2 linked regions of the Arabidopsis thaliana genome follow. The protein of the gene in region 1 interacts with the protein of each later gene in a pairwise test. Each region holds a gene or a part of one and is shown in the gene's direction. Other genes may lie near its edges. The genes, in order: AT3G20260 and AT5G37890.

Evidence for each region.
Region 2: the proteins of AT3G20260 (region 1) and AT5G37890 interact in a two-hybrid assay, tested with the Arabidopsis thaliana proteins (one large-scale study listed by BioGRID).

Annotation. Positions count from the first base shown.
Region 1 is NC_003074.8:7,058,805-7,074,483, reverse strand, and holds AT3G20260 (DUF1666 family protein (DUF1666)), read left to right. Parts: upstream 1-7,754; 5' UTR 7,755-8,732; coding exon 8,733-9,168; intron 9,169-9,252; coding exon 9,253-9,669; intron 9,670-9,757; coding exon 9,758-9,972; intron 9,973-10,048; coding exon 10,049-10,294; 3' UTR 10,295-10,574; downstream 10,575-15,679. Other genes in the region: AT3G20280 (RING/FYVE/PHD zinc finger superfamily protein), read right to left, coding at 144-1,762, 2,178-2,300, 2,382-2,478, 2,617-3,009; AT3G20270 (lipid-binding serum glycoprotein family protein), read right to left, coding at 3,618-3,791, 3,871-3,996, 4,082-4,330, 4,406-4,748, 4,830-4,969, 5,090-5,527, 5,760-5,909, 5,984-6,120 and 2 more; PUM5 (pumilio 5), read left to right, coding at 11,824-12,420, 12,508-13,784, 13,902-14,043, 14,122-14,229, 14,331-14,543, 14,626-14,736, 14,830-15,024, 15,096-15,267 and 1 more.
Region 2 is NC_003076.8:15,082,338-15,097,760, reverse strand, and holds AT5G37890 (Protein with RING/U-box and TRAF-like domain), read left to right. Parts: upstream 1-5,805; 5' UTR 5,806-5,938; coding exon 5,939-6,130; intron 6,131-6,580; coding exon 6,581-7,249; 3' UTR 7,250-8,083; downstream 8,084-15,423. Other genes in the region: AT5G37910 (Protein with RING/U-box and TRAF-like domain), read left to right, coding at 443-595, 874-1,551; AT5G37900 (TRAF-like superfamily protein), read left to right, coding at 2,959-3,102, 3,277-3,858. UniProt on the Arabidopsis thaliana protein: E3 ubiquitin-protein ligase that mediates ubiquitination and subsequent proteasomal degradation of target proteins.

The DNA of each region.
Region 1 (15,679 bases):
CTTTGACAAGTTCATCCACAGCTTCAATGTTTTGAATATTCCTGGTTTCTGTTAACAACTGAGATATATAAACCTTTGAGAGCCAAAGGGGAGAGAAGACGATAATTGCTGGTGAAGTAATCCCAGGTGATTACTCAAAAATTTTAGGCAGCATTTTCTTCCTTTACCGAATCTGACTTATAGAACTCCGGCTCAGAAGGCTGTTCCTGATGTCTATCATCTAAACCATTTAACCCTTTACCCTTCTCTGAATCTCCCGGAACATTATGTACAGAATCTTGGACATTTGGTGTTTCCTTCTCGGTTTGTGAATCATAGTTAGATGACACCGAAAGTGGCTGAGGTGGTGTTTTCTCTGTATTGAAAGCTGAATCCTCTTGTGTCACGGATGGTGCAGCAGTGATCGTCGAGTCTTGATCTGGTACAACAGTGGCTGGGGATGCTGTTGGGTGGTTCTGGCAAGCTTCAGAATCAACTTTAGCATCCTTACTTGATTCTTGAACGTTCTCTGATATTGTTTTATCATTCAGAGAGTCTGGGTGAGATGTAGATTCTGATGGTTTCTCACACTCGGAAACATTTTCCAAAGGAGCTGCATCTTCAGTTGCTTTTGCAACCTCAGAATGTGACACTGCCTGTTGAGAATTACTACTGGAAGTAACAGTCAATGTATGAACTTGAGTGGTAATGTCAGCATTCAATATAGAATGGTCAGCAGTCCCAGAGGCCGTTGAGCTGCCATCTCCATTTTGGGTAACTGTCGGGGCTTGTGCTACAAGGCTAGCAGTTATTGGTGTACTCGGACTTGCGTTTGAGGTTGCATTCACGGGAAGTTGGTTAACAACAGGCAATGGAGAAGTGCTGCTCATAGTACCAACTGGTGTTAAAGGTTTTGAAATGAGGCCATTGTTTATCACAGAAATTGTACTTGCGATTCCTGTACGATTTGGAGTCTCGGTAAGCGATACCGGTGCTGGAGAATTAGCACCACAGGCAACATTTTCCTTAGAGCCCTGTGATCCAATGTTAGTAGTCTTTGCTGCGCTTGCAGTTGTCTTTGCATTTACACTAGCAGACTCAAACTGAGATGTAGTTGCTGCTCCAGAAACCAAGCCAGTATTTTGCAATCTTGAAAACGTAGATACAATTGGTTTTTGTTGATTAGCCTTTATATCCATCGGTCCAATCTTCTTTGCTGAGGATGATAGAACTCCGGCTGCCCTAAAAGGCATTTTTGCTGTAGTCGTCGCTACGGCACGAGTCGCACGCCCATATGTAGGAGGAAATGGCTTCCCATTGAATGCTTGCACACATCTTGAGCAATGCCATTCAGATTTTGGAACCCCTTTCATATTGTTTCCTTGCAGACATTTCAAGTGGTATGCTTTTTCACAGGCATCACAAATCAGTAGAGTGTCCATTTCATTGATGGTAACTTCACATATCTGGCATGCCATTGCCCTGCTCATATACTCTCTTGAAGGTGGATTCCACAAAGGATATTGTTTAACCCGTGGTTGCAGAAATTTATGGATTATCTTAGCAATTTCAGTATGGTTGCCTCCGAACGAAGAAGTTTGACTGTAATGCATTGGCTGATTTGTGCCAGTGAATGTACCGTGCCTGAATGGCCTAAAGCTTGGATCTGCTGTCCTGACAGAACTTTGAATTGGAACCTTCTTATCTGGTGCAGTACTGAAAGATATGGTGGATGGAAGTTGGGCAGACCAGGGTTCAGCATAATAATTCGCGGAAGAAACTGCTGAAACAAGTAATATATGAAACAAACTCAAAATCAACTATGAAAAAGCTATTAAAGAACTAGAAACATAACATATAAATTTAGCAACTCAGGATAGAAACCTAACCAAAAAGAAAGGCTACCATGACCAGTAAGATTTGCAAAAGAAAACGATAGTATTCACAAAAGGTATACTTATTCTAAGCATGAGGGCTAGTTACTCAGCTACAAGCCTAGTGATTAGCCAATTATCTGTATTTGGCTGTTATGATTACCTTCACTAAAATTTACAAGTCCTATCGTATAAAGCAAAACAGCAAACCAACCAGAATACCCTACCCATACTAAAAGTGTTGTAATTTCCAAATCAAAGACTAAAAGAATCTTATCACTACAACTGCATCTATACAAAACAAAGGGGGATATGAGGACTTACGAGTCCCTTGAGAAGCACCGTTAAGTACCATCTGAGGTCTGTCCAATTTGAAATGGCTTCCACTAGTGTTAGCAGTAGCAACTTCACTACTAGGCCACTGATGAGCCACAGAAGCTTTATTCGCTGCAGAAACAAAAGGGTGAAGAAACTGTCAGGAAGCCTGAAGATAAAGCTTTGATGGTTTGTCAAAATGTGTAGCCTTACCAAGACCACCAGGAGATGCAAGACTACCGTTTGGCTGTGACAATGTATATCCAGTGGATACTGTCGAAGTGGTAGGATACTTTTCTGCTTCTTCCATCTGGACAAAATCAAAACAATGATGAAAACGCCACAGAGAAAATTGCATCTCTCAAAATGCTGACAAAACTATACCCAATTGAAGTGAGCAATATCAAAGAGAAAACACAATTGTGATCTGAGAAACAAAAGGCATTACCTTTCGTTTACCAAGAGAAAGCTTCTCAGAGATAGTCACCGTAGGAGCTCGAAAACCTAATCTCTGGTCTTTAAGCTTACCATTGAAACCCAAATCCTCAATCACAGATTTAACATCATCCTTACGAATAATATCCTTAGGGTCAAATTCCAGACACATCCCAGCTAATTTGGACCTAGCTTCAAACATCAGCTCGAGTTCCAACGCCGTCGGAGTTTCCCCACCACGCATCCTCCCTAACGCCGATAGAACCAGAACAATCTCCGCCACTCTATTCATCTCCTCGTCAAAACGTGGCTTTTTCGCAGGCGGAGACACCGGTTCTGCTCCGTTGCCATCAACCATTGCGACGGATTCAAGATTCATTGGAGCATTACTGGTCGCTATATCCATTGAAAAGAGAAGAGACGAGGAGAAACCTTAAACGCGAAAGAAGAAAAAGGGAAGGAGGGAGATCTCCATTGTTAGAGAAAGGTTCAAAATTTTGAAAGCCCTCTTTATAATTTATTTTCGCGGGTTAATAAAAATAAGGAATTTGAGGAATCAGAGTAGGGAGCCAACAATACCCAAATTACACGAAGCAGAAGACGGAGATGTTAGAGAGAGATCGATGAGAGAGGATCTTTTGACTTTACTTTTTTTTGTCCTAGAGAGATATAATAGAATAACAATTTTATCCTTTTCTATTGTTGTTTTGCGTACATATGAATAATATTTTGATTGTTTACGAAGTTGGGCCCATATTTAACAGGCCTGTAATATAAATCATTGGGCCGTGTCTTGCAATTGCCTAATGGAAGTTTTCCTTAACCTCTCAGAAAGATGCATTGGTCTTAGGGGGGGAAGTTCCAGATATAATGCAAGTAGCCAAAGAAATAAAGAGATCTCGTCAAAACGCTTCTTAGAGGGGAAGTTCCAAACGGTTCAAATCACAATTATGGTTGTCATTATATTTCTTCAGGCTTACGTACATGCAATCTAAGAAGCTATATAATACTTGCTTACTGGTTTGTGCTAGTGCCGATATCGGTACATACCAAAATGCCACTATTAACATAAACAATCTTTATGTTTTTGATCGTGAAATCGCCGGGAATCGGCAAAGGGAATCCTCTCTTGAGACGTGTGTTTACGTACGGCAAAAACAAGGCTTCAAGAATCCTAGACGTAGCAGCCTAACAACAAGAACACATATCCACCAGTTTGATGCTAATCAAGATAAATCTTAAACTCAAGATAATTAACTTGACTTACCTGAACATAGTTTGTTTGAAACTCTCCAATTTTACTCCACTTCATTGTTGCATTGAAATCATTTAATCTGAGGCTACCGATTAGATTATTCTTTACGATTTCTGTAGAACACGCAACACTCAGAATCTGCAAACAAGAACAAGATTCTAACTTTAGTGATCAAAAGATGCTTCTTAAGTTAGATTGTTTGGTGGATTACTATTAGTCTTACTGTTGATAGGCGTGCTACAGATAGATTTTCTCCAGAGTCTTGAACATCGAACGCTATATCTAGCTGAATCGTCGCATCAATTCCATTCTCTGTGATTTTAACAGCAGGAGGAGATGTTACTGACATGTTAAGCACCATTTTATTATCTGGATAATGTTTGTACAGCTCTGGAAGGATGAGTTTCCAGTCAGATGTGCTTAGAATGGACCCGTTCTTTGTTTCCTCCATAACTAAATGCATCACCTTAGCCTGAATCAAAACCAATCCAATAAGCTTACAAATTGTTTTGTTCCACCATACTCTAATCAAGATTTGAGAACTTACGTTGAAGTAGACAAGTGTTGCAGAGTTGAAAACTCCTTCTTCTACTGAAATTGTCACCATTCTCTTATTAACCCCACCAAAGAAGGAAGAAGAACGAGACCCTGCAACTTTAATATCATCACCCTTTGGCATGAATAAACCATTGATGTCAACTTCAACCGACGAATTCCCTAAGACAGGGTTGCCTGTAAAAGTGAGATTCACTGCAGCAGAGTCATCAATCTTTCTCTGTTTTGGAAGTGATTGCAAGAAAGAATCAAGCTTCTTCATTTTTTCTACAATTTTAGTAGAGACAGTTTTTTCAACAGTAGATATAATCATTTTTTGAAATGCATCAACCACCCTGCAAAAAGGAAAACAAATATTATAATCTTGGAATAAGAGATTTTAGAGATACGAAAACTTATGGAACATTTAATAATACCCTTGATATAGCCAAGAAGCACCACCATTGATATGAATATCAATGTTCTTTACTGTACAATCATTTTCCCGTGAGGCAATCTTTAGACTTCCATTATCATTAACCAAAGTGGCAGTGATTCTCACATTCATTCCTTTAACCTTCATCGTCATAATCATTCACCTGTTAAGCTTTTTCTTCTGATGATGAAACAATGTTCTGAACACAAACAACAAAACTAAAAAGACCCAATTTGGTTTTCGATAATTTCAGAGTTTTACCTCAACAGAAGCATCTCCATGATCAGAAATCTCAAAGAAGGAAGCTCTGTAAGTATAAGACCAGTCCATACTCAAATTTGCTGTAGCACCTAAAACACTCAAAATGATTCCATCTTTTCGAGTCTCCATCTTCGAAGACTGGACATGAACTGCATCAATCTGAATATTCGATAGACCCATTCGAACTTTCCCGATTAGAGGGATCTTAACCTTATTCTCAATGTCTGGTAGCTGAAGTGGAAGCGTCGTAGTGATCACTTTCTTGATGAGGTAATCTTTAGCAAATTCAAGACCTGTTTCCGAGACGATTATCGAAATGTGACCGCCATTGTTGGATTGCGCCAAGGTCGATGACACCGAGACGAAGAGAACCAGAATCGTCATTACTTTCATGAGAGCCATTTCCAAGAAGAAGAATAAAGTGGATGGATAACTGAACTTAGCAAGTAACGAAGAAGTTAAAATAGTCAACAAAATGTTTGACTTTTGCTTTAAAACGAACCACGAATTATACATGGCCAAGAATCTGCATTTTACACGTCTTTCTTTCTTACAAGATGCAGACTTTGAATGTCTTATGTACAAGTATGTTGTAGAATTGGACCTCAAATTACTTTACAGGGCTGTGGAAACTGGAAGAAGCAGGCTAAGTTTAGTAGCCTAACCAAACATAAGGTATGGTTTGAAACTTATTTTTGGCAATTCCTATTAAGTCGCAGTACTCTGAATGATCAAGCAAGTCACGGAAATCTACAAACAGTTTCTCGAACACCTTCCACTGCACTTTGATTGGTCTTGAATATGGATATGGAAGAAAGCCCTGCATCTCTTAGATAGTTAGTTTCTACTAGAAAAGAATTTGAAAACTTTATGGACACTGTTATCCTTTCTTACATCATATTCTTGTGCGATTGATTTCAGCACGGTAAATGTATGTTTTGTGTCCTCTAAATTGTCAAGAAGAGCCAGCCAAATCTTTGTTGCAAGCTCACCAGCTTCTTCTTTCGATTGGCCACAAACAATCAATTGGTCTGCCACCAGAATATAAGATGAATGCCGTCATTAGCAATGATTCATTAAGCAGAGTCAAATGCATATACCAAACTAGCTTACCGATAAGGGTTCCATGCAAAATGCCTGAAGCAGGCATAGTGGAAAGTTGAAGCTGATCATTCAAGAACACGTAAATATGTCCAAGCATCTCATCTATGTCTGTATCATCCACACCTAATATGTTTCTGCTGATGTATAAAGCCACATATCTCCTGCAGCTAAAAGGCTGTTAAGTTCCTTGAATCTAACTAAGACATTATTAAGCTAGCTTTTTTCATAGAAATCAAGTGTGTTTCCAGTCACCGTTTGCTTAATCCTTGACGAATTGGTCCAATCCAGCTCTTAGTTTTGCTAGCAAGTGGATACGCCCGATTAAGAGCAGCCAGCCATAAGCATTCTCCGCGGAATAAATTAGCCCACTGCTTTCTAACACACGATACTTGTTCCCAATTTGTTATTGGAATTCTGATAAATATCTCTATCAAGAGATCCTCTGTAAGCTTTCCAAATGGACTATCATCTTTCATTGTCGGAGCAACGTTCTCTTCTTTACTTCGGTTCATTACTATCCTGCAACACATGTTTTACACATAGATCACCAATAATACATAAGCGACATAAAAGCAACATCAGTCACACTAAATTATTCCATCGAAATCAAACAGAACATTATTGAATAGCACTCATTTAGTAGCTTTTTAAGTATGTTTAAGAGTAACAAACACAACACTAACTTAGAACTTTAAAAAAACATATCTATAAGCCTAAAGCTTATTAAACAAAAACATATTACTTACAGATTCTTAATCCCAGTGAAGCTTCATTCCCATAATCCGGAAACAAGCAAACTAAAAAAAATCAATTGCTTAATGGCAAAGCAAAAAGCATAGAATCAAATGTTCATACGATTTGTAACCAATAAAAGGATAAGCTTTTGTCTACAGTTATAAGATTAAAAAAGTAACAAAATTTGAGTAAAATTCATATGAGAATCCCATTTGATCACTATAGGCTCAAACTCAACAACACAAGTCCCTATATCAACAAGAAAATTCTATTCAGAGGATCATAGCAATCTGATTGATTGGAACCCAAAAAAAATTCTCTTGAAGAAGTCAAAATTTTATAACTAGAAAGAGTAGAAAACGAAACGGCTAAGATGATAACAAGCGTTTCATCAGCTGAAACAGAATTCAAGCAAAAATAGAATCGAATGAGAACTTACAAGAGGTAGTAAGTAATCCCTGAGAAGAAGAACTGGTGTGAGAGACATGCCAAATGAAGCCATGGATCATAACCTCAAGCTCTCCAATTCGGTTTCATCCAATCCACTAGACCGGAATCGTAACCAAAGTAAATTCAAAAACCATACCAATATAACCAAAGTAAAAGACGACGTCGTTTCATAGCAGTATACATAAATTTGGTAAAGAAAAAGCCCATTTTAAGAGAAGCCCAAATTGTCATCAGAAACAAAGATAAGACCCGTAGATGTATGAGACGGAGGAGGGTAAAGATGTAATTTTAAAAGAGAGAAGTGAGCAAATGGAAGGAGAACAGATAGCGCGGCTTTTCTGACAATATTCTCTGTACGATGCTTTTCTTTCTATCTCTCCCCCCACTGACCTACCTACCAGTTGTTACTTGTTACTGCTTCTTCTCCTTTTCATTCATTCATACATCTCTCTCCTTCTCTAATCAAACACCAAAACAAAACCAAAAATTAACCAATAGAAAATGAAGTATCAGAAAAAGTAAAGTAAGAAACCAAACAGTAAAAGACAATTTCGACCCATTAGGAAATAAACAAAAAGTCAAATTGACTCAGAAACCTCTTTGTGAGGGTTTTGACTGCAAATGGAAATTTTTGAGGAAAGGGTTTTAAGAAAGGAAGAAAATTTCTAGTTTTTTTTTGGAATTTGAAATCACAAAGTTTAATTATTGAATTTAATGACATCTGTTTAAGAATCAATAATACTTGCTCTCCTTTCCTCTCTCACATTTATATTGTGCTCTCTCTGTCCATTTACTGAAAAAACTTGAATTGAGACATTATTATACTTTGCTTTCTCTCTCTCTCTCTTGCAAGTGGTTAGAAACATTTCTCCTTCTTTAATCTCCTCCTCCTCCTGTCTTTGTCTTTCGATTTTGTTTTGCTTTTATTTGGGTTTCTCTTTCTTTCTTAAATTTTGAATCTTTTTCTTTCTTTTTGTTTTTTTTCTCACACTCTTTGCTCAGTGTAGTAGTAGTTTCAGTGGAGTGTTGATTTATCAGGGAATGCTAGTGTTCTTATCAGCTAGAGATTAGTGAATCGAATCTAAAGTTTCAGACAAATGCTGTTGTTGCTACTGATCTACTTATGCATTCTTAATCTTCTGTCGGTGTTCCTAATTCTCTAGGGTTTGCTCATGATTCTCTGAGATCTTACTAGATTCATGCATTTTCCTCATTCTCTGGTTTGGTTGATTCTTTGATTAAGTTCGTTGTGGCAGAAGAGAAACGCTTTTACTCATGCAAAGAGACTAGTCTCAGTTTAGATCTTATGATTTAACAAAAAACACTCACTCTCCTAAGTGTGTTTGAGGAGGCAATGGATTTCTTGAAAGTTAGAAAATTTCGAAAGTCTCGGAAGCCAAACCTTGAAAAGGAGAAAGAAGACAAGATATTGGCTCAGCAAGAACAGGCAAGGAGTGAGAACACTGAAGCTGGTGTGATAGATTCGGGGAAAGGAGATGAGATCGAAGATGACGATGATGATTTCATTACCAATGAGGTTAAGAGAAGGCTCAAGGAGTTGAGGAGAAACAGTTTCATGGTGTTGATACCTGAGGAAGAAGAAGAAGAAGAAGAGGAATCGTATCTAGATGAAGATGATGATGACGGAGAAGACAAGTGTTCAAGTGAGTGGAGAGATGTGGTTGCTGAAGGACTTCAATGGTGGGGAGGTTTTGATGCTGTCTATGAAAAGTATTGCGAGCGTATGCTCTTCTTTGATCGTTTAAGCTCTCAGCAGCTCAAGGAAACTGGTAAAAGCTTCTTGCTTTGAACTGTTTTTCATTGTGATAGATTGGACTGATCATGGATTTGTTGGTTACTTTTCAATCTCTTAGGCATTGGAATTGCTCCAAGTCCTTCAACTCCATCGCCAAGATCTGCATCTAAGAAGCTGTCATCGCCTTTCCGATGTCTTTCTCTCAAAAAGTTTGATGTTCCGGAGGAAGATATCGAGCATTTGCAGCCGACAGAAGTTGACGACCCTTATCAAGATCTAGAGACGGCCTATGTTGCTCAACTCTGCCTCACTTGGGAGGCACTTCACTGTCAATACACGCAGCTGAGCCACTTAATCTCATGCCAACCCGAAACCCCGACTTGCTACAACCATACTGCCCAACTGTTTCAGCAATTCCTAGTCTTGTTGCAGAGGTATATAGAGAATGAACCGTTTGAGCAAGGCTCAAGATCGGAACTTTATGCTCGTGCTAGAAATGCAATGCCTAAGCTACTTCAAGCTCCTAAGATTCAAGGTGATTTCTCAGCTCTCATACATTGCGCGACTTAAAACCTTATGTGTAGTAGTAACACTTGAAGTTGGTTATGTTCAAAACATATCAGGGTCAGATAAAAAGGAGATGGAGAAAGATACAGGCTTCATGGTCCTCGCTGATGATCTCATCAAAGTCATAGAGAGCTCGATCCTTACTTTCAACGTCTTCTTGAAAATGGATAAGAAGAAACCAAATGGGGGTATTCACTTGTTTGGGAACCACAACAACAACCATGTGAATTCTACAACTCCTTTACTACTGGTTCAGTCATCCATTGATAAGGTACGATTTCTCTGTACTCAAATGTTATTACTATCGTATGCTTCTTTGGTGTCTCATAAGAGAGGAACTTTTGCAGAAAAGGGTGAAAGCAAAGGAGCTTTCAAAGAAGACAAAAGGGCTGAGAAAGAAATCATGGCCTCAAACATGGGAAGGTGTTCAACTCTTGTTTGCAGCCATTGACATCAAACTCGCAACACGGGTTTTGAGGATGTCGAAAATCAGTAAAGAGCAACTTCTATGGTGTGAAGAAAAGATGAAAAAGCTCAACTTTTCAGCTGGGAAGCTTCAAAGACACCCATCTCCAATTCTTTTCCCTTGTTGATATAATAAAGTGATGAACACACAATGATTTCAAATACTGTAGCATCAACTGTTCCCTTTTTATACGATCTTTAAGATCCGGTTTGGGGATTTTTCTTTTGCAGACAAATCAAAGAAGAAATTGTGTGTGTTGTTCCATTTGCTTTCATTCATTCTCTTGGCAATAAGAGTCCAATTCCAAGAACACACTTGGTTTGGTCATAGATTCACTATTAAGGGACCATTTTCATTGTTGTCGTTTGGATTTAGCACATATGAAAGAATCCAATGTTGTCTTGTTGATGGGAAACTAAATCCATGATCATGATCATGATGGTGATAGAAAAGTCTTATTCTTCTATCACTTTCATTGTTTTTGGCCAAAGTCTTTTTATTTCTTTTCCACACTTTCCTATTTAACAAAAATCCTAAGAACTATAACTATAAAACTGTTGAACAGTGTTCAGGTTCTTAAAACAAACAATTAGAATTTCTTAATCCAAAAAGAAGAAGAAACAAAAACAAAAAACTTAAAGTGTGTTTTGGTGGTGGCGTAGTAACAGGCAACAGAGACAATGCCACGTGAACGTATCTCTTTCAACTAGAAGTGTCAACACGTGGCAAACCTAGTCACCAATTTGGAGCCAAAGCTTGAATGACCAAAAAGGGCTTGCTTCACCACCACCGTTAAAGAACATGCTGAGGGGTAGTTTAGTCATTATAAGGAGACGACGACCTCTTCGTGTGCGAATCCGTCGTGATGCTGAATATTGTAATGTTGTTAAAAATGCGATATCGAAAAACTCTTTAAATAAAATTTTGTGTATTAAATTAAAGACTAAAACCTTACAATAATTGCCGAGAAACAAAAAAGTGTTAAGATTAGTCTTGACTTGGTGACTCGACGAAGCCCCTTGAAGCAAACTTTTCAAAGGGTTTAGTTTTAATTTCTCTATCTCTCTTTTTCTCTGGGTCTCTTCTCTCTTCAAACATTTTATTTCAAGCTCTTTGAGAAAACACTTTCATGGAAGCTTGAATATCACCATCAGGTACTTAACTCTGCCTCTTCTTCCCTCTTCCTCTCTGTATCTACTTTTTTTTCTTCTACAAGTCATGCAAGGAACTAGTTTATGAATAGAAAATGATAAAGTTTAAGTCTTTTGTTTAATTTTGATCTCTGATTATAGCTTCAGGATATGATTCTCTGTTTGTGAAGAGGTTAATGAATGAGTTCAACGGTTTCGTGTGCTTTTATAAAGATGGCGTCTTTTGATGATCTTGTTGTTGTTTTTCCTGATTATTGAGTTGACTGAATTTTTTAGCTTCAGGAAATGGTAAAAATCTTAGTCTGAAATTTCGATCCTTGATATGTAGATTTCGTTCATGTCTTGTCGATTACTTGTTTTTTTGTTCTTGTGATTAATGAAATTTGGGACCATATCTTAAAGTTCTTAGCTTTTTGTTCTCTTATGGACTAAGGTTTTGCTCTATGTGTCAGGTGTTGTGAAATTTACTTTGTATGATATATAGAAACTTGATTATAATAGAAGTATGACGACTACGCAGAGCGCTATGAGAATGGTTGAGGGTGATCATATAAAAAATTGGCAGGCTTCTAGTGATAGTGGGATCTTTGGTTCACTTGATATGGCTGTTGAAGATTTAGGATTCCTTATGAAAAGAAATAGGTTGGATAGTGGTGATCAAACCGGTAAATTCCCTAGTAGAAGCGAAAGCGCGCCGCCTAGCATGGAAGGTTCCTTTGCAGCTCTTAGGAATCTCTTGAAACAACAAGAAGGTAGTAGCTCTGAAGTTTTAAGTAGGGCTATTGAGAATTATGACTCGGAAGAAGAGATACGTAGTGATCCTGCTTATGTAGCTTACTATTTGTCGAACATCAACTTGAATCCGAGACTCCCTCCTCCGTTAATCTCACGGGAGAATCAGCACTTGTTGCGTCATTTTGGTGATAATAATCAGAGTCCAACAACTTCTTGGGATAATATGGGGATAAGATCATCTTTGCATTCTTCTAGAACTGCTCTTTCAACTCATAGAGAGGAGCCCGAGGATGAGGCATCATCGGGTGAACAACAATCTTATGCTTCTTTGGCTGGTCGTCGTAAGAGCATAGCTGATATGATTCAGGTACATGGTTCCTTATTTTATTACTAAAATATTAATTCATTTTACATAAAGGAAGATTTCCCTCTTACACTTTCTTCTGTGTTCAAGCGGCCTCATTCGGCAGGAAATCGTCCAATAGCACAAGACATCCATGCCATTTCCTCTGATACATCTTCAGAACACGCAAGAAGATTACCGGAGTCCGATATAAATTCGGTTAATCTGCTGAGGGAGACAGATTCTCTCTCCAGCGATGCTATTGCTAGTGAAGATCCCTTTACCACTGATTTGGCCTCACAAAGTTTTACTAATGCACAGACAGAGAGATTGAACGCGAGGCAAGCGAGCCATGAGGACAACAATCTATCTGTTTTTGGTGCTTCTCCTCCATCCTCTGTTGCTTCAAGAATGAGGAGGAACCAAGAAGACCAACAATCTCAGGGAAGGAGAATGCCTCCACAATACACACCTTCATCGTATCAGGTTCAAGCTAGTTCGCCACAGCAAATGAGCTATCCGAGGATAGGTGGTACACAGGACATGATGCAGAGCTTACCAAAGATTGCAACTGGCGAGGTACATTCGACTTTCCAATCTCCTCACGGTTTGGCACCGCCTCCTATGTATACATCAACAGCAGCATATATGACATCTCTGAGTCCATTTTACCATCAAAACTTTCAGTCCTCGGGTATGTTCGTCCCGCAATATAATTATGGTGGTTACCCTCCTGCTTCTGGTATTGTCCCTCAATATATGAGTGGATACCCATCTCATGAAGCGACTGTTCCTATGCCATATGATATCTCATCTACTTCTTCGGGCTACAACAACCCTCGGCTCCTGCCTGGAGTATCATCGAGTGGACAAAACATTCCTTCTCTTGTGGATCCTTTTCAGTTGCAATATTTTCAACAGGCTCAAGTGGACGCGTATGCTCCTCCGTTTCAGAGCAGCACTGATTCTTTTGGGCAGAAAGACCAACAAGCTGTTGGCTATATGGCAAATCATGAACCTCTCAACAGTCCATTGAGTCCGGGTTACGGGTTGCAAAGTCCGCGGCACATGGGAAACTATTTTGCAGTGCCGCCTGGTGTAAGAGTAATGCCGCAGTATCCAGGATCACCTCTTGCTAGTCCGGTGATGCCATCCTCACCGGTTGGTGGAATGATGAGCCACTTTGGAAGACGAAGTGAAACAAGGTATCATCAACAAGGGCCAAGTAGAAACACTGGGATCTACCCTGGTGGATGGCAAGGGAACAGAGGGGGAGCCAGCAGCATCGTTGATGATCTAAAAAGACATTCTTTTCTTGATGAACTTAAGTCTCCAAATGCTCGGAAACTCGAGCTTTCTGATATTGCAGGGCGTGTTGTTGAATTCAGGCAGTGTTTCTGCTCCGAATCTATCATTTTCTTTAATTCTGAAGTAGTGTTTTGAAAGGTTCAAAAGAAATGATGTCATAGTAATCTTAATTTACTACTCATTTTTCTGAACTTCAGCGTCGATCAGCATGGCAGCCGGTTTATTCAACAGAAGTTGGAGCACTGCTCCGATGAGGAGAAGGCATCTGTTTTCAGTGAGGTTCTTCCACAAGCTTCAAAATTGATGACTGACGTTTTTGGAAATTATGTCATCCAAAAAGTGAGCCACTTTTTCTTCTTCTTTTTTTCTAAGCTGAAAAGATCTTGTCCATAAAATACATTGTGATTTTTGAATCAGTTCATAGAACATGGAACTCCGGCACAGAGAGAAGAACTTGTGAAGCAACTTGCTGGTCAGATGGTTTCACTAAGCTTACAAATGTATGGATGCCGTGTGATACAAAAGGTAAATTTATTAATTTTACTTTCCTTATATCAATGTCAGTATCTTGAAGTAAATTGTAGTTAAGTTTCCATGTGCTTGTTTGTACCTTATGATATTTATAGGCCCTTGAAGTGATAGATGTTGACCAAAAGACAGAACTAATTCGTGAGCTCGATGGGAATGTGCTGAAGTGTGTTAGAGATCAAAACGGAAATCATGTTATCCAAAAATGTATCGAGAGTATGCCTGCTGGTAGGATTGGATTCGTAATTGCTGCTTTCCGTGGTCAAGTCGCCACTCTTTCTACTCATCCTTATGGATGCCGAGTTATCCAGGTAATTGGAAAAGAGCGAGCTCTGTCTCCTCTTGTACTCTGAACTTGAAATATTCATTATTTTCCTGTCTGCTTTGTTATAGAGAATCTTGGAGCATTGCTCAGATGATGAGGAGACTCATTGTATAATAGATGAAATATTGGAATCTGCGTTTGCTCTTGCTCATGATCAGTATGGGAATTATGTCACTCAGGTCTGGTTAATCTCGGATCCATTGTCCCTCTTGGAATTGTCTTGAAATCTTTTTGTTCTTAATATTGTGCTTTGGCTTATGTTTTTCTTGTAGCATGTCCTGGAGAGAGGGAAGCCCGATGAAAGGAGACAGATCATTGAGAAGTTGACAGGGAATGTTGTTCAGATGAGTCAGCACAAATACGCATCTAACGTTGTAGAGAAGTGTTTGGAACACGCTGATAGTACCGAAAGAGAGTTCCTGATTGAAGAGATAATGGGCAAATCCGAGGAAGACAATCACTTGCTAGTAAGAACAAAATCCTAAAGATAGCTCTTTGAATCCTCCTGGACTTATTTTAACACTCTTTTGTTCTGCAGGCGATGATGAAGGATCAGTTTGCAAATTACGTGGTCCAGAAAGTCTTGGAGATCAGTAAAGATCAGCAAAGGGAGATTCTGGTGCAGAGGATGAAAATTCATCTCCAAAGTTTGCGGAAATACACATACGGGAAACACATAGTAGCCCGATTCGAACAACTGTTTGGTGAAGGTACTTTTCTCTAAAACTAAAACTTGAGTTGTCAATATGACTCTGCTAAAGAAATCTGAACGTTCTAATATGTTATTGTTACAGAGAGTGAAGTCTCAGAAGAGGGAACAGAAGGTTAGACAGAAGATTTTCTTTTGGGTTGCAGATTTGTACAATGTTTGACTTAGACAAATATGTATTTGAAAATGCTTATGTATATATGCTTGTATCTATGAATGGAAGTGTGATGGTATTACAATATGTATATGGTGTGGACATGATCTGTGATTAATAATTTGATTTGCTTCTTACTTCTTTGTTTTGACGAGAAGAACACAGAGAATTAGCCTCAAGAATTAAAAAAAACTCATCTTCTACTTCTCATGGGAATCATAACACTCCCAGGTGCCAAAAAAACATCTCATGTCCAAGC
Region 2 (15,423 bases), on another chromosome or scaffold:
GTCAGTCGCGTTAATTTATGATTTTAACACCTCTTCAACCTTTACAATACAAGATATTTAATAAACAAAGGTTCACAAAACCCTAATTAAAAAACAGAACATACATGTGTGTTCTTCAAGTCTAGCTTTCCCTTCTGTTTGATTGTTTTTCCTTTTTCTAGTTTGTTCCCTTTTTCCTGTTTGGGATTTTTGACATTTTATTTCCAATTCCTAAGACTCTAAGAGGTGTTTTCTAAAATTCGTCTTCTATAAACAGAGATCTCTCCATCATTCTTGTTTAAGAGTTAATTATCATACTTTTTTTTTGAGATTAAATAAACTGGTGTTCAGACACGAGAAGAGAATTCTCACCTTTGTTTGTATCAAAGTTTTGAACAAACCCTCTAAACCCTTCCCCCTTCATCAGCCGAGGACAAATTTCTCCTATTGATTTCTACGCGACATGGTGCTAGCTTCAATTTCGGAAGCTTTGATATCTCAAGGTGATGGAGGGGAGAGAGTGGCTAAGAGACAACGCTCGGCGATAGTACTGCTAGATCTTGATATCCTCGATTGTCCTATTTGCTGTGAAGCATTGACGAGTCCTATCTTCCAGGTTTTGTGTCTTATATGAAAATTCACTTTTTTTTTTTTTTGAATAATGTCAAATTATAGTCAAAAAGAAAAATATACGTTTGTACAACTTCGTGAGGTTGAATGTGAAATTTTAAAAGAATTGCTTAGGAATTGCTAAAAAACTGAACCATTCTAAGATGCCAATGAATACTGTTATCTGAAAATTCAATTGTCCAGTTTTTAATATCTATATTTTTTCTCGAATTTTGAAGGTGTAGTTACAGCTTTTTAACCACAATTTGTATTTTGTTTTTTCAGTGTGATAATGGGCATTTGGCTTGCGGTTCTTGCTGTCCCAAACTGAGTAATAAGTGCCCTGCATGTACTTTGCCTGTTGGTCACAGTCGCAGCAGAGCAATGGAGAGTGTTCTTGAATCTATTTTGATCCCATGCCCAAACGTCAGGTTTGGTTGTACCAAGAGTTTCTTTTATGGGAAAGAGTCAGCTCATGAAAAAGAATGCATCTTCTCTCAATGCTCATGCCCTTCATCGGTCTGCGATTACACTGGCTCATACAAGGATCTCTACGCTCACTATAAACTGACTCACTCCACGAATATTTTCTGGAATATTAAGCGCTTTAGATGTGCCAATTTCTTTACGACCTCCATGCTCATCAGCGATAAGATACTAATTAAAAGGGTACATGAGAAGAAACTATTGCTTGCAGTGCAGTGTTTTAGGGAACCGTGTGGTGTGTATGTGACTGTAAGCTTCATTGCACCATCTGCTCCAGAAGTAGGAGAGTTCTCATATCAACTCTCCTACAATGTGGATGGACACACTGTGACTTATGAATCTCCGGAGGTGAAGAGGGTTTGTAAAGTGAGTATTGAAACCCCTCAAGAGAATTTCATGTTGATACCTCACAGTTTATTGCGTGGTGACTTGTTGGAGATGCAGGTTTTTATCATCGAAAATGTGGACCAAGAGTAAGAAGTTGAGGTGATATATAGAACTAGGAAGGTCATTCTATTATTGTTTTCATATTCCTATGTACATGGAAACTCTTTTTGTCTCGTCTGTTTTATTTAACATATAAGCTTTGCCCCGATGAAGTAAGACCCGATTTGATTGCTTAACGGCTTGATTTAATTAGGTTTCAGTTTAACTAGATTACAACTTTGATTATAACTCGTTTGGTTTTGCACTTAATGTGATGAAATCGACCAACCAAACATTTCACAGTGTTTCAACCGTTCCATCTTTTCAAATGTATTATTATACAGTACATGCTAGGTATTAATTGTTTTAACACAACTTTTGATATATGTCAAGCTTTAGTCCATAAATTGTCATCACTCTTCTTTGTTTATATGCTGATGTAAACATACTATGACAAGACTGTTCGTTTAAAAATGTGGCGACTTAATTGTGCGACCCATAAATACCTTAAGGTTGGAGCAGAATACAAGCTGAGTATGAAAACCGATCCAAGCTCAAAAATACCGAAATCAATGGCTAGAAGAGTCATCATCTCAATGGCTAGAAGAGTCCTCACCGAAGTATTGTGGTGTGTAGTTTCTTCTCCTGTCTTAGTAATATTCATCAAGTAGAAATTTTAAGCTCTTGCGGTGAAACTTGAATGATGTTTGCTTCATTCCATGCTTCCTTGATCAAAATTATTCCATGGTTTTGACTTATGAGAAACGTAAATTAAATATTTGGAAACATGCGAAAATTTAAAAACCAATTAATATGCCATATAAGATAATACAGTAAAATATTAAAATATTTGACACATGTTACAATCAAATTGATCATCACACGTATCATGATGATAATGATGTTAGTCGTTTAATTGTTTTTATAATTTTCCTCTTCATAAGTAAAAAACCTAAAATATATTTAACACATGTGAATGTCTGATTGATTGACTACACATATATCAGTTGCGTTAATTACGATATGAACTTGTGTCAAATACTTCTTCAACCCTTACACAAAACCCTAATTAAAATAAAACCGAACATACACGTGTTCTTCTAGCTTTCCCTTGCGTTTTTGGTTTTCAAGCTCTAAGGTATTTAACAAGATTTCCTTTTTCTGGTTAGTTTCCTTTTCCTTAGTTAGTTTGGATTTGTGTTTACCACTCCTAAGAGATGTATTAAAAGTTGTCTTCTACAAATAGATCTATCCATCGTTGTTTAAGAGATATCAGACTTGTGTTTTGAGATTTAAAAAGTTGGCGTTTAAACACTCTTTTTTTTTTTTACTTTTTTTGGTACGGAAGTCTTATAAAAGTTTCGAACAAACTCTTCTGCCTTCATCAGTCGAGGATGTTTTAAAATTGTTTGATTAATGAAAATATGATAATATTTTTACTATTGATATCTAGGTGACATGGTGGGAGCCTTAGAAGCTTTGATATCTCAAGGTCATGGAGGGGAGAGAGTGGCTAAGAGACAACGCTCGGCGACATTGCTAGATCTTGATATCCTCGATTGTCCTATTTGCTGTGAAGGATTGACGTGTCCTATCTTCCAGGTTTTGTTTCTTGTCTAAAAATTGTTTTTTTCCAGCTTTTAATACATATTTTTTTTCTTGAAATTTTTACAGTGTTTTTTTTTTTGTATGTCAGTGTGAGAATGGACATTTAGCATGCTCTTCTTGCTGTCCCAAACTGAGGAACAAATGCCCTGCTTGTGCTTTCTTTATCAGCCAATGGAGAATATTCTTGAATCGATATTGGTCACATGCCCAAACGACATGTTTGGTTGCACCGAGAGTTTCTTATATGGGAAAAAATCAACTCATGAAGAAGAATGCATTTTCTCTCTATGCTCATGCCCTTCATTGGACTGTGAGTACTCCGGCCGATACGAGGATCTCTATGATCACTATAAACTGACTCACATCTCGAACTCATACTGGACCACTAACTGCTTTAGATCTAGCATTCCATATAAGGCCCCGATGCTTATCAGCGATAAGATACAAATTACAAGGGTATATGAGAAGAAAATATTGTTTGCAGTGCAGTGTTTTAGGGAGTCGTGTGGTGTGTATGTAACCGTAAGCTGCATTGCACCATCTGCTCCAGAAGTTGGACAGTTCTCATATCAAATCTCCTACACTGTGGATGAACACACTATGGTTTACAGATCACCACAAATGAAGAGGGTTCGTAAAGTGAGTTTTGAAACACCTCAAGAGAATTTCATGTTGATACCTCACAATTTATTGCGTAGTGAATTGTTGGATATTAAGCTTTCTATCGTCGAAACGTCGAACCAAGAGTAAGAATGTTGAGGTGATATAGAACTAGAAGGAAGGAATGTCATTTTTTTACTCTCTCTATCTCGTCTGACATTTATATAAGTTTTGACGAACTAAGATCCGATGTAATTGCTTAACGGCTTGATTCAGCTTTGATGCAATTTGTTTGGTATTGCTTAACACGTTTTTGTGCATTTAGAGTGATAATGGAAATTTTGATGGAATCGACCAACAAAACATTTCACAGTTTTTTAATCTAATAACTTCTAAGCTATACTTTATGCATGACCAAATTGGAGTAATGCGTGCTCTTTCGTTTGTCATGATTATGGTCTCCATCTTTTATTCTACTCTTAGTCGAAATCTAATTATAAGTAAACGTACGAACGTGTGATGTCTAAAAGCAGAAGAAAAAATTTAGTTGTGAATTGTGATTCAATGATTAAAGAATTCCAATATGGTAGTTTTAACTGCAATTTTACATATTAGTTAAGAATATAAAAGCTAATACCAAAATTCTTAAATCTTTAGCAGAAAAAATAATAGCAAAAGTTAAAATAGAAATTTCCATAAATAGCACCATTTCAAGTTTTTGGAAAAAAATAGCACTCAAACATTTTTTGGACAAAATAGCATTCAAATAATTATTTTATTTTTAATTATTAAAATTAACAATTAAAAAAATTCAAAAAGTACACAAATTCATCATTTGGGTGAATGCTCTATGAATATGCTAACACAAACTTTTTTTTTATTAGCAATCTGCTACTTCTGCATAGTAATTGACCCTATTCAAAAAAAATGAACTATATAACTCATAAATTGTTAATTCTGCAAACGATATGGTTATTGAAATTATATTGGTTTAAGCATATACTAACCTATATATCTGTTAATTCTGTGAATCAACCGCCGATTTTTTCCTTGCGTTTCCAATAATATTTTCCTCAAGGTTTGAATTACTAGCTTACATTGTATAGCACTCCATTATCTTCATCATGTAGATATCGGACTCTTTAATCTTAGCAGTCTACCACCAAAAATCAAAAGAATTTTTAAACATTTAATTTGAAAATTACTTGAGGAATAGAGGTCAACACTATGATATATTAAATTTAGAAATTACCTGAAGAAAAGAGGTCAGGACTCTGATACTGAATGGAGTGACATCTATGTCGTGGAATCTTTCAAAGAATCATTTCCTGAATTTAAGAAAGATTCTACAAAATTCAGGAAGAGTTTTAGGAAAGATTTTTTTGTGAAATCTTTTATGAATTCCGTGAAATCCTTCCCAAATTTCGTATAATAATCTTTCCTAAATTTTTTTTATGGGAAACATTTGACGGATTTTTTTTTGTGAGAAAATTTTGACAAAAATCTTTGGCGAGAAATATTTAATTTTATTTATTTAATTAAATTAGTTATTTATATTAAATATTTAATAATTAATTAAAGTTTTGAGTGTAATTTTGGAACTATTCAAATGAGCTGCTATTTTTGAAGAAATTGTTTTTTTTTGCTATTTTTATCAATCTTCCAAGGTAAAATTAGTCTAGTGGTTTGTGATTGCCCCAAATCCCAACTTCAAAACCACATTTTTGACAAAAAAATAAATAAAAGCTACATAACTTTTAAAAATAAAAATTAGCTTATTAATTAATGTAGCAAAAAATACATAAACTATTAAGACTAAATAAATAATTATTATTGTATTTTGTAAAATTTAGACATTGTTTCTGTTATATATTATATGGGCCTTAATTGGGAATTGAAGAATTAAAAAATACATAAACTTTAAGACTAATATTAATTTTTAAATGGTTTTATATATATAATTATATTCTTTTATATTGTAAATATTAATAGACTTAAAAATTAGATATTGTTTATAAGTTTATCAAAAAAAGGTATTGTTTATATATTATATGGGCCTTAATTGGGAATTGAAGAACTATCGAAGCCCATATCATCTATAGTTTGTGCCATTGTCTCCTTTCTCTGTAAAACCATCCATCAATGAACAAAATCAACTAAATTCTCTATTTGCCTCTCTCAGTTTTCGAGAAGACTAAAAGCGAATTTAGGGTTTAGTCATCTCTCCGACATGGTTGGTGCCGCGATTTTGGAATCTCCCGGCGAAGGAATTGGATCTAACAGCATTCTCTCGCAAAAGAGACAACTTTCTTCTAGTGATGCAGCTAAGAGAGACGCTAAGAAACGCTCGACAATGCTAATGGATCTGGAGATTCTCGATTGTCCCATTTGCTACGAAGCTTTCACAATTCCCATCTTCCAGGTTTCGTAATTTCTCAAATTGAATCATTTCGTATTTTTCAGAAAGTTTCTGTTTTGGTTAGAACTCTGAACATAGTTGGAACTGTGGCCATTTACTTGATTCTAAGAGTAGCCTTAGCTTTTGAGGATTCTAGTGAACTTTTGAAAGTTATGTTAAAGAAATTGCAGAGAGAAGAAGTTGGAATTGTGCCCATTTACTAGTTACTAGATTTCAAGAGTGTCCTTAAGCTTTAGCTTGTGATGATTTTATAGAATTCTAGTGAACTTTAGTAAGTTATGTTCATGTATGCAGTTGTATATAGTTATTGAAAATATGTGTATAACTTGTCTATATCATGAATTATATGGGAGAATCATTTGGGGAGAGAACTATTATCCTTGGTCGATTCGATGAATATTATCTCGACGTTGTTATAGCTTTTGATCACAAGTTATTGGTTTTGAATTTCAGTGTGATAATGGACATTTGGCTTGTTCTTCTTGCTGTCCCAAACTAAATAACAAATGCCCTGCGTGTACTTCGCCTGTTGGCCACAATCGCTGCAGAGCAATGGAGAGTGTTCTTGAATCGATCTTGATCCCGTGTCCGAACGCCAAGTTAGGTTGCAAAAAGAATGTATCTTATGGGAAAGAGTTAACTCATGAAAAGGAATGCATGTTCTCTCATTGCGCCTGCCCTGCATTGGATTGCAATTACACTAGCTCATACAAGGATCTGTACACTCACTATCGTATTACCCATATGGAAATAAACCAGATTAATACGTTCATTTGTGACATTCCCTTAAGTGTCCGGATGAACATCAGCAAAAAGATATTGATTAGAACGGAACACTTGACGAATCATTTGTTTGCAGTGCAGTGTTTCAGGGAGCCGTATGGTGTGTATGTAACTGTAAGCTGCATTGCGCCATCTTCTCCAGAATTAAGTCAGTACTCATATGCTCTCTCTTACACTGTCGATGGACACACTGTGATTTACCAATCACCAGAGGTGAAGAGGGTTCTTAAGTTGAGTTTTCAAACCCCGCAAGAGAATTTCATGTTGATTCCCAACAGTTTATTGCGTGGTGATGTGTTGGAAATGAGGATTAGCGTCAAGAAGTTGAACAAAGAGTAAGAAGGTTGGGGTCTTCCTGTTAGAAAACTCTTATCTGTCTCGTTTTAGTTATCTTAACCCGCCCATAGTCGTTATGGTTGATGAGGGTTGTAATTTTAGAGACTTGGTGCAATCGACCAACAAAACGTTTCACAATGTTTTCAATCTAAACTAAGATATAATTTATGCATAGGCCATTTGCTATGAAGCATTGACGATTCCTGTCTTCCAAGAAGATTTTTCCATCTTTCTGATTCTTATTTCTTGATAACTAAAATTCTTCCAGGTTTTGGTGTTTCTTGTTATAAACTCTGTATTAGGAACAACGAAGTTGGAAACTTGCCCTTTTACTAGATTCTAAAAGTTACAAAAACTAGTTTTGTTTTGAGGATTTGAGGATTCTAGCGAAGTTCTACAAAATATGTTCAGTTTTGGAGTTGTAGTTCTTGAAAAGTGTGTATAATTTAGCAAGATCAAGTATATATCATGAATTATAAAAAAGGTTAGTTAAATATATATATATATGGAGGATGATATAATTAAGAAAGTATACATGGACATATAATTATATCCCATAGGACAGAAAAAAAGAGGTTGAAGAGGGAGATCGTCCTCACCAGAATCCATGGTTAGGGCCTCACCAGAAGAGGTTGGGTTGTCTGTTTGTGTTAATGTGTATACCAAATTCGGTTTTCCACCAATTTCCTCCTTACAAAATACACCCATTGAACTCATGGCTGCTAATATGGAGATTTGGATCGATTTTTGTGATATTCTTCTTCTCCTTCTCCCCTTGCATATATATATTAGCCAGCCATTTAATATAAAAACTTGTGAATACAACTAAGCTTTCTTTTGTTTTAGTTGAAAGCTTTTTTATATTCTTTGTTATAAAAAAGTCGTTCATTATTTTTTTTTTCTTTTTGTTTTTTTGTTAAAGAAAGTCGTTCATTATTGATTTCGGAGAGCTGTTCAATTATCAAGACTTCGGATTTTCCGGATCTTGTTTCTAACGATTGGAAGTTTGAAGAAGCAAGACTTCGAATCCCATCTAGGAACAAGAACATATCGTGACTTCACGTTGGACAACTGTAAAATAATAGTGTACAATACAATACATGATAGTATTTGTTATTACTTTAAAATTAAACAAGGAAAATACGACAAGTCTACAACGCAGATTAAGTTAAATATTTTTCTTTTTCTGCTAGTGATATGATTCTTCTCTCCAAAAGTATATCTCTCACACAAAACTTGCTTAGGTCTAAACAATAATCTTAAAATATTTACATGTATATATTTTTGCTAAGGTTTTTGACCAAAAATCCCTCACCTATTTACTATTTTCAATATTAGTCCTTACAAATTTAATCTCAATCAAATACTTTATAACTAAAAACTTACAATTAGTTGAATTGCATTAATTAGTTGAATCAACTCTTCCTAATTTTTTATCCTTAACTAAATTTTTTTTTATTGAACTATATTCGATTAAGGCTAATTTCCTAAAATCTATATATCAACATTAAATATAAATATATAATTTTTCTGTCATTATCTTTGTTTTTATATATAGCTATTTTAGTTTATATATAAAATACATATATTTAATAAAATATTAGATTTTTTTGCATCCGATAAAATTCAAATTTTTTAAAACAGACATATAATACTCCATCGATAAAAAAAAAAGTTTTAAAGGTCCCACATTGCTTAAAAATTTGGGACATCGTTAAGAGTCATACTATAAAAAATATTTAAGTGATTCTGAATACGAATGAGAAGGAACCTTGATATATCAAACATCCAAAATTAAAAGTATTGTTCGGTTTACTCCGGTTCTTTATTTTAAATAAGTAAAAGTTTTAAAGTTTTAAAATATTATATATATTTAAAATTTATTAAAAGTTAAGTATTACAATTTCTTAAGAAAATTTAAAAGTTAATAACTATAAAATAAATTTAATATTAATGATTTAAAAATTTTAAAATTTTATGAAGTTGTAAATTTTGTAAATATTTGAACTTTATAAGAAGTTAAAATATTATAAATACTAAAAATATATTAATATTGAACGATATATTACGGGTGAAATCCTATATGTAACAATCAATATACAATTATGAAGTTTGGTCCATATTAAAACTTTTTTGAAGTTTCTAATATTATAATTATTCGAACTTCATAAAAAAATGATAAAATGATGTTTAATTTCACGGGACGAGGTTATATGGTGGGATAGGTTTGGATCGATATTAATACGGAATGATACAATTATACAATTTTAAACACTAAAAAAAAATAGTTATAAAAATCATACAGAGGTGTATCATACTATCATACATAAAAGACAATAGCATGTATCTATAGATCATCCTAAAAACAATAATAATATTTTTAATTTAATAAAAATATAGACGTTTGATGTACCTCTTGAATATGTTATATATATAAACAATATTAATAAAAATAAAATATCTAATTTTCTAAGAAATATTTCAACCCTGGATGTACCGCGGGTCAATCTCTAAATAATACAAGTTAAAAAATAATAATAATAATAATACAAGTTTTAAATCTTTATTACCTCTAAAAAACCCAAACCATAAAAATAAATATTGAATTTTCATAATTAACTAACAAATATGAGAACATAAAAATGAATTATCGAAGCTTTACATAAATAAAAATTATGTGTTAAGAATATATTATTTATATACAATTAATAATTTTTAAAAAAATTATCTATAATTTTTTAATGAACATATCCACCCGTGGTACCGCGGGTTAATATCTAGTATATATATAATATAGGTTAGTAAAAACGTGCAGGGTCTATTTTACAAATAAGAAAAATTTCTAGACTTCTTAAAGACTTTATGATACGTGAGAAATATCCTTGTCGATAAGGGTGTCGATCGGTACTGACGTGGTGTCGATCGATACTGACGTGGTGTCGATCGACACCAACGTATGAATAATGTTTCTGCTTGTCTTCTTTTCCTGAAAAGCTTCCAAAATTCCTTATTATGCTTCATAGCTCTTAAAAGTAGATATGCACCTGTAATGACTAAAAAAGATACAAAAAAGATTAGAAAGACTATAAAAACCATTCTAATACTATGTTAGAAATCAGTAAAAACCATGATATATCTCATATAATTTATTGACTTTTATTTGGTAATTGTATACGTGTGTTAGATTATTGTTGTAAGTTGTTACATTATACTCTAATTGTTTAATTGTATTTTAAAATTTACATTTATTTTATTTATCAACCGTATTATTGTGTCCTTTCTTCAATATATGATTATGCACATCAAAATAACTTTAAACTTCTTTATTAAATTCCACAAGTGTATATATAGTAAATAATTAGTAATTAAATGCAATAATTTCTTACCATATTTTTCAATGATGGAAGAAATAGTAAATAATTTGAATATTGATCATATAAAGTATTTGAGTTCTTTTGATTAATATCAATTAGTATCAATATATCAATATTCATATATGTTAATCTTTTAATTAATCAAGACTTTTTTAATCTCACAACTTTGAATATTTTACAATTTACACACATACTAAAATCAATATGATATAAACAACTTACAAATTTGAAATATATCAGTTAAAAAAATATTGCATATCATTTTCATAGATTTAAATAAAACGCAAAACTTATATTGTATATCAATATTATAATTAGCACTTTTGATTAATTTGATAAATGTTTAATATAAAAATAACAAAAATCTAGCTTTAGTTTATAATTTATAAAACCTAAAAAATGTTTAGTTCAAAATTAATATATCATAGTCACAATATTTATGCTAATTGTTATTACATGTATTATAAAGTAACTAAATATTTTATTTTATATATATATATATATATATATATATATATTAGTTATAAAATATTGTATATTTCACTACATTTATTTCATCCGCGCATCGCATAAGGTTATGTAGTGTTATGTAGTTTAAGAAATCATATACTATATCTTAAAAATATTATATGTTAAAAAAATTAAATTTTCATTTTTCCAATACTCAAATTAAATATGTGTATAAACTTTATTAAAGCATAAACATTTACTTTTATATGTATCTAAAATTTTATAAATACTTTATAAAAATATCTTACAAGTACCTTAGAAGTTATAATTATCTTGTAAATATGTAAAATACTTTGTAAAACCTTGTGACACTTTATAACACCTTATAAAATACCTCATAAATACTGGAATTGAATCTCCAAATAGTAGTTACAACTGATAAATACCTTATAAACCTTATAAAATTTTATAAAATTCGCAGATTTAATCAAAAAATTATTTTTCTTAAAATGATTCAAATTTAAATAGCAACTATTGGGTTGTTACTGAGCATGTCTATAATATGTAGGTTTCCTAGCGGTTTACAAATTGTCAAACAAATATATTGCAATAAAAATGCCGACAAAAAAAAAGTTTTATTTATTATAACTTGAAACTATTAATTGTTAATACTTAATAGCCACATAGGGGAAACGGTCTGAATTCGAATTTGCTATTGTTTTATTTTATTTTATTTTTAGTCAACTATATTAGATTGATTCAAACAAATCAATACCGAAAAACATTATTTATATAGGTGATAAGATGTGGTTGCGTATAAACGTTTAATACTAAATTATCCGATTTTGTATTCGCATTCAAAAATTTAAAAATATAAAAATAAATCAAACTCCTCTTTATTACTATTGCTGGAAGGAAAAAAATGTTAACCTCAATTTTGAATTGTTCTTCAGAAAAATTTAATTACTTTTTAATCATTCAAAATACAGCTAGCTTTGGTTGTTATTTGTTTACTAGAAGAAAATACATGAAATGTATAAATATAATTTGAATGTATTCTGTCATATATATAAGAGAAAAAAATAGTTTCTTAAGAAAAACATTATTGTCTAAGGATCTGTTTATTTCGAATAAACCAATGTGAAAAGACAATAGTAGTAATTATAACAATTGTTTTTAGTACTAAATTAGAACCCGTGTATCACACTGATTTATCGATAAATATGGTTTTACCAGTTGTTAGATATTTATTGTAATGATATCTAAACAACATGGTGAATGTTAATCGATCGAATAAGATATGAAATTAAAGTATTAACTAAAACCTTTGGGAGAACGACCTGTGTCCCCCTACCAAGTTTCACATTGTATCACAACTACACAGAATCTAACACTCAATCTCGGTCCCCATGGAATGAAAGTTAAAAACATGCTTCCCCCTAAATCGAAAGTTACAGACTCTGATCCCCAAAAATGTTAATTCCATGGTTTGCCTTCGGTTTATTATACAGAACCCGATGTCAAACCAAAACCCAGAAGGATAAACCGAATTAAACCTTATTCTCGAGGTATCACACAACCCAACCCGATAAATCCCAACCCGATAAATACAATCCCCAAATTGAGAAATCCTAGAACCCTAATCTCGATTGTTCTTCTTCTCTTTTCTTCACCATTTTCGAATTCAATTCTGAGCTTGAATATGAGCAATTCATCTGGAGCTACGAGTGGAGCATCAAATGTTGGACAGAGAAGAAGATTCGTGGGTGTGCCAAAGATGTGTTGGTGTGGTGCTACTATCTCGGCGCTCATGTCTAAGTCCGCTTCGAATCCATATCGACGTTACTATCGTTGTGCTTATGCTGCAACACATAAGGTAATGTGATTGATATTTGAGTTGTTTCATACAAATTTATAGCCTAATTCTCTGTTCTTTGTAGCTTGTTGATGATAACCACACATTCAAGTGGGTTGATGAAGCATTGTTAGATGAGATAGAGAGATTGACTCGAAGAACGGCTGCACTTGAAGAAACAATGTCCCAAATTACAACAGAGAATATGGAACACCAAAAGATGGTTTTTGAGAAGATGCAAATGAAGCTAGAGAGAGAGATTGTGGAGAGTGTAGAAGAAGAACTGTTGGAATCAAAATCAAGCATGAAGAAAATGTCGATTGCTGTCATTGTTGGTTGTATGATCATGCTAGGTTTGAGTAAGGTGATAGGTTAGGTTTGAGTAAGGTGATAATTTAAATCTAGTGTATTGGGTTGTTGTTGTTTGTTTGTTTTCGCTTTCTGTTATTGTTGTTGTAGTGTACTAACCGTTGATCGAGCTTATGTTTGTGTAATGAAAAACCCAATTTGGATTCTTGTGCTTGTTGTTGTTGTTTGTTTTGTTGTGTTTGAGAATGAGTAAAACAAAGACAAATGGCCAAAGAAGACAAAATAGATTCGTTGAATGAGTCAATTGGTGTATTCTAAGAAATCACCAAACATTATTGAGGCAAAGAACATCCGAAACAAAGAAATGAAACATCCATAACCAAAATTACATAACCGAGTTAAGTTTTAATCAGATGGTAAACAAAAACTAGACCCATCTAATCCTCTTACACCTAACTAATCTCCTTCTAATCAGCCTTGAGACATCACAACTCCTTGAGACGGTTCCACTTGGCTGCCTTGAGTGCCATGAGTGCTAGGGCCTAGACTGCCTTGAGACATCAATCCTTCAAAGGCCTAATACACATTTTAAAGCAAAACAAGAGTCAAACTATTTTATAGGCCTAATACACGTTTTAATGCAATGCAAAACATAACCAAAAGGCTAACCTGTACTGAAGACTTTTTCTTCTTGTGGAACCTTGAGTTGTGACCAGCTGCATTACAAATACCACAATGCATTACCCTTTTCATTTGTTTTGGTGCCATCTTAGTAGGAGTCTCATTCTTTCCCTTTTTTCTCTTCTTGTCTTTTTTAGTCTCTTTTCCTTTCTTTCTCCCAGGCTGTGGTGGTGGTGGTGGTGCATGCACATCAGGATGTTCTGTCGATGGCCAAAATGCAGGACCTCTCTGCGGAAATAGGCCGTCTGTGTAATTTTTCTTCCACATGGGTGTCCGAAACCAGTGACACACATAATCTTCAACCTCTTGCTTCTTGTTTAACATGACTCCATAAGCATGCTCACAAGGAATGCCACAGATTTGCCATTTCTGACAAGTGCAAGTCCTCTCACTTAAGCATATCCTATGAGAACCGTTACCTATAGTAGCTTCATACATATCATTAGTGCTTCTTCTTATGGTCAGCTCTGAAGCTTTTTTGAATTCTTTGGCAAGGAATTTACTAACATATGGCGTGCATCTCCCTTTGTGCTCATGAGATTCAACAGCTCTCTTGGCTATCCTTACCATTGCAAGTCTCCTTATGGTTTCAAGCATTGGCACAAATGCTTTGTCTCGAGCTTTAAAAATGGAGTTGTTGAAGGACTCCGTCGAATTATTCTCAACATCTTCACAGAAGTTTCCTTGCTTGTAAAACGCCCTGCACCAAGTTCTTGGTTTTGACTTCACAACATCACGCCAAACTGCCACATTGTAGTTGTAAAGCATGGTCATGTTAGCTTCAAAGCTTTTCTCATTGTAGCTCCATGCCACATCCCAAACATACTTCTTCATCTCTTTATCTTTCCCATGATTTTTCTTCAGGTTTCCATAAATGTGTCTCACACACATTCTATGCTCAACCATGGGCAGCTCTAACTCAACAGCTCGAATCAAACCCTGAAAAAAAAAAAAAACGATCATTAATAAACTACCAAAAGACAATCAGACACTATGCTTAAATTAAGAATGCTTCTTACCTTTTGACGATCAGACACTATGATATAACCATCACCATCCATTAGTCCCAAATCATCCTTCAGCTTCCTCACAAACCACACCCAATTATCTATATTTTCTACTTGTACACACCGCCATGCTATTGGGTATATAGCATTATCAGCATCTCTACCTAAAGCAACAAGTAGCTGACCTTTAACCTTTCCTTTTATAAAGGTTCCATTTATCCTTATAAGTGGCCTACACGACTCTTTCCATGTTCTCTTTAGCGCATCAAAGCAAACGTAGAATCTGTTGAATACCTCTTGTCTGCCTCATTTGTCACAGTCTGAACCTCAACAGTTGAGTCTTTATTGGACTCTCGTATCTCTTCCGCATAGTCTTGAAGCCTAGCAAACTGCTCATCATGTTCTCTCTCAATCCATCTCAATGCCTTTCTCCTTGCAGCTTGACATTGAGGCCTAGATACGGTGATCTTCCATCGTCTTTTAATGATTTCCTCAATCTTC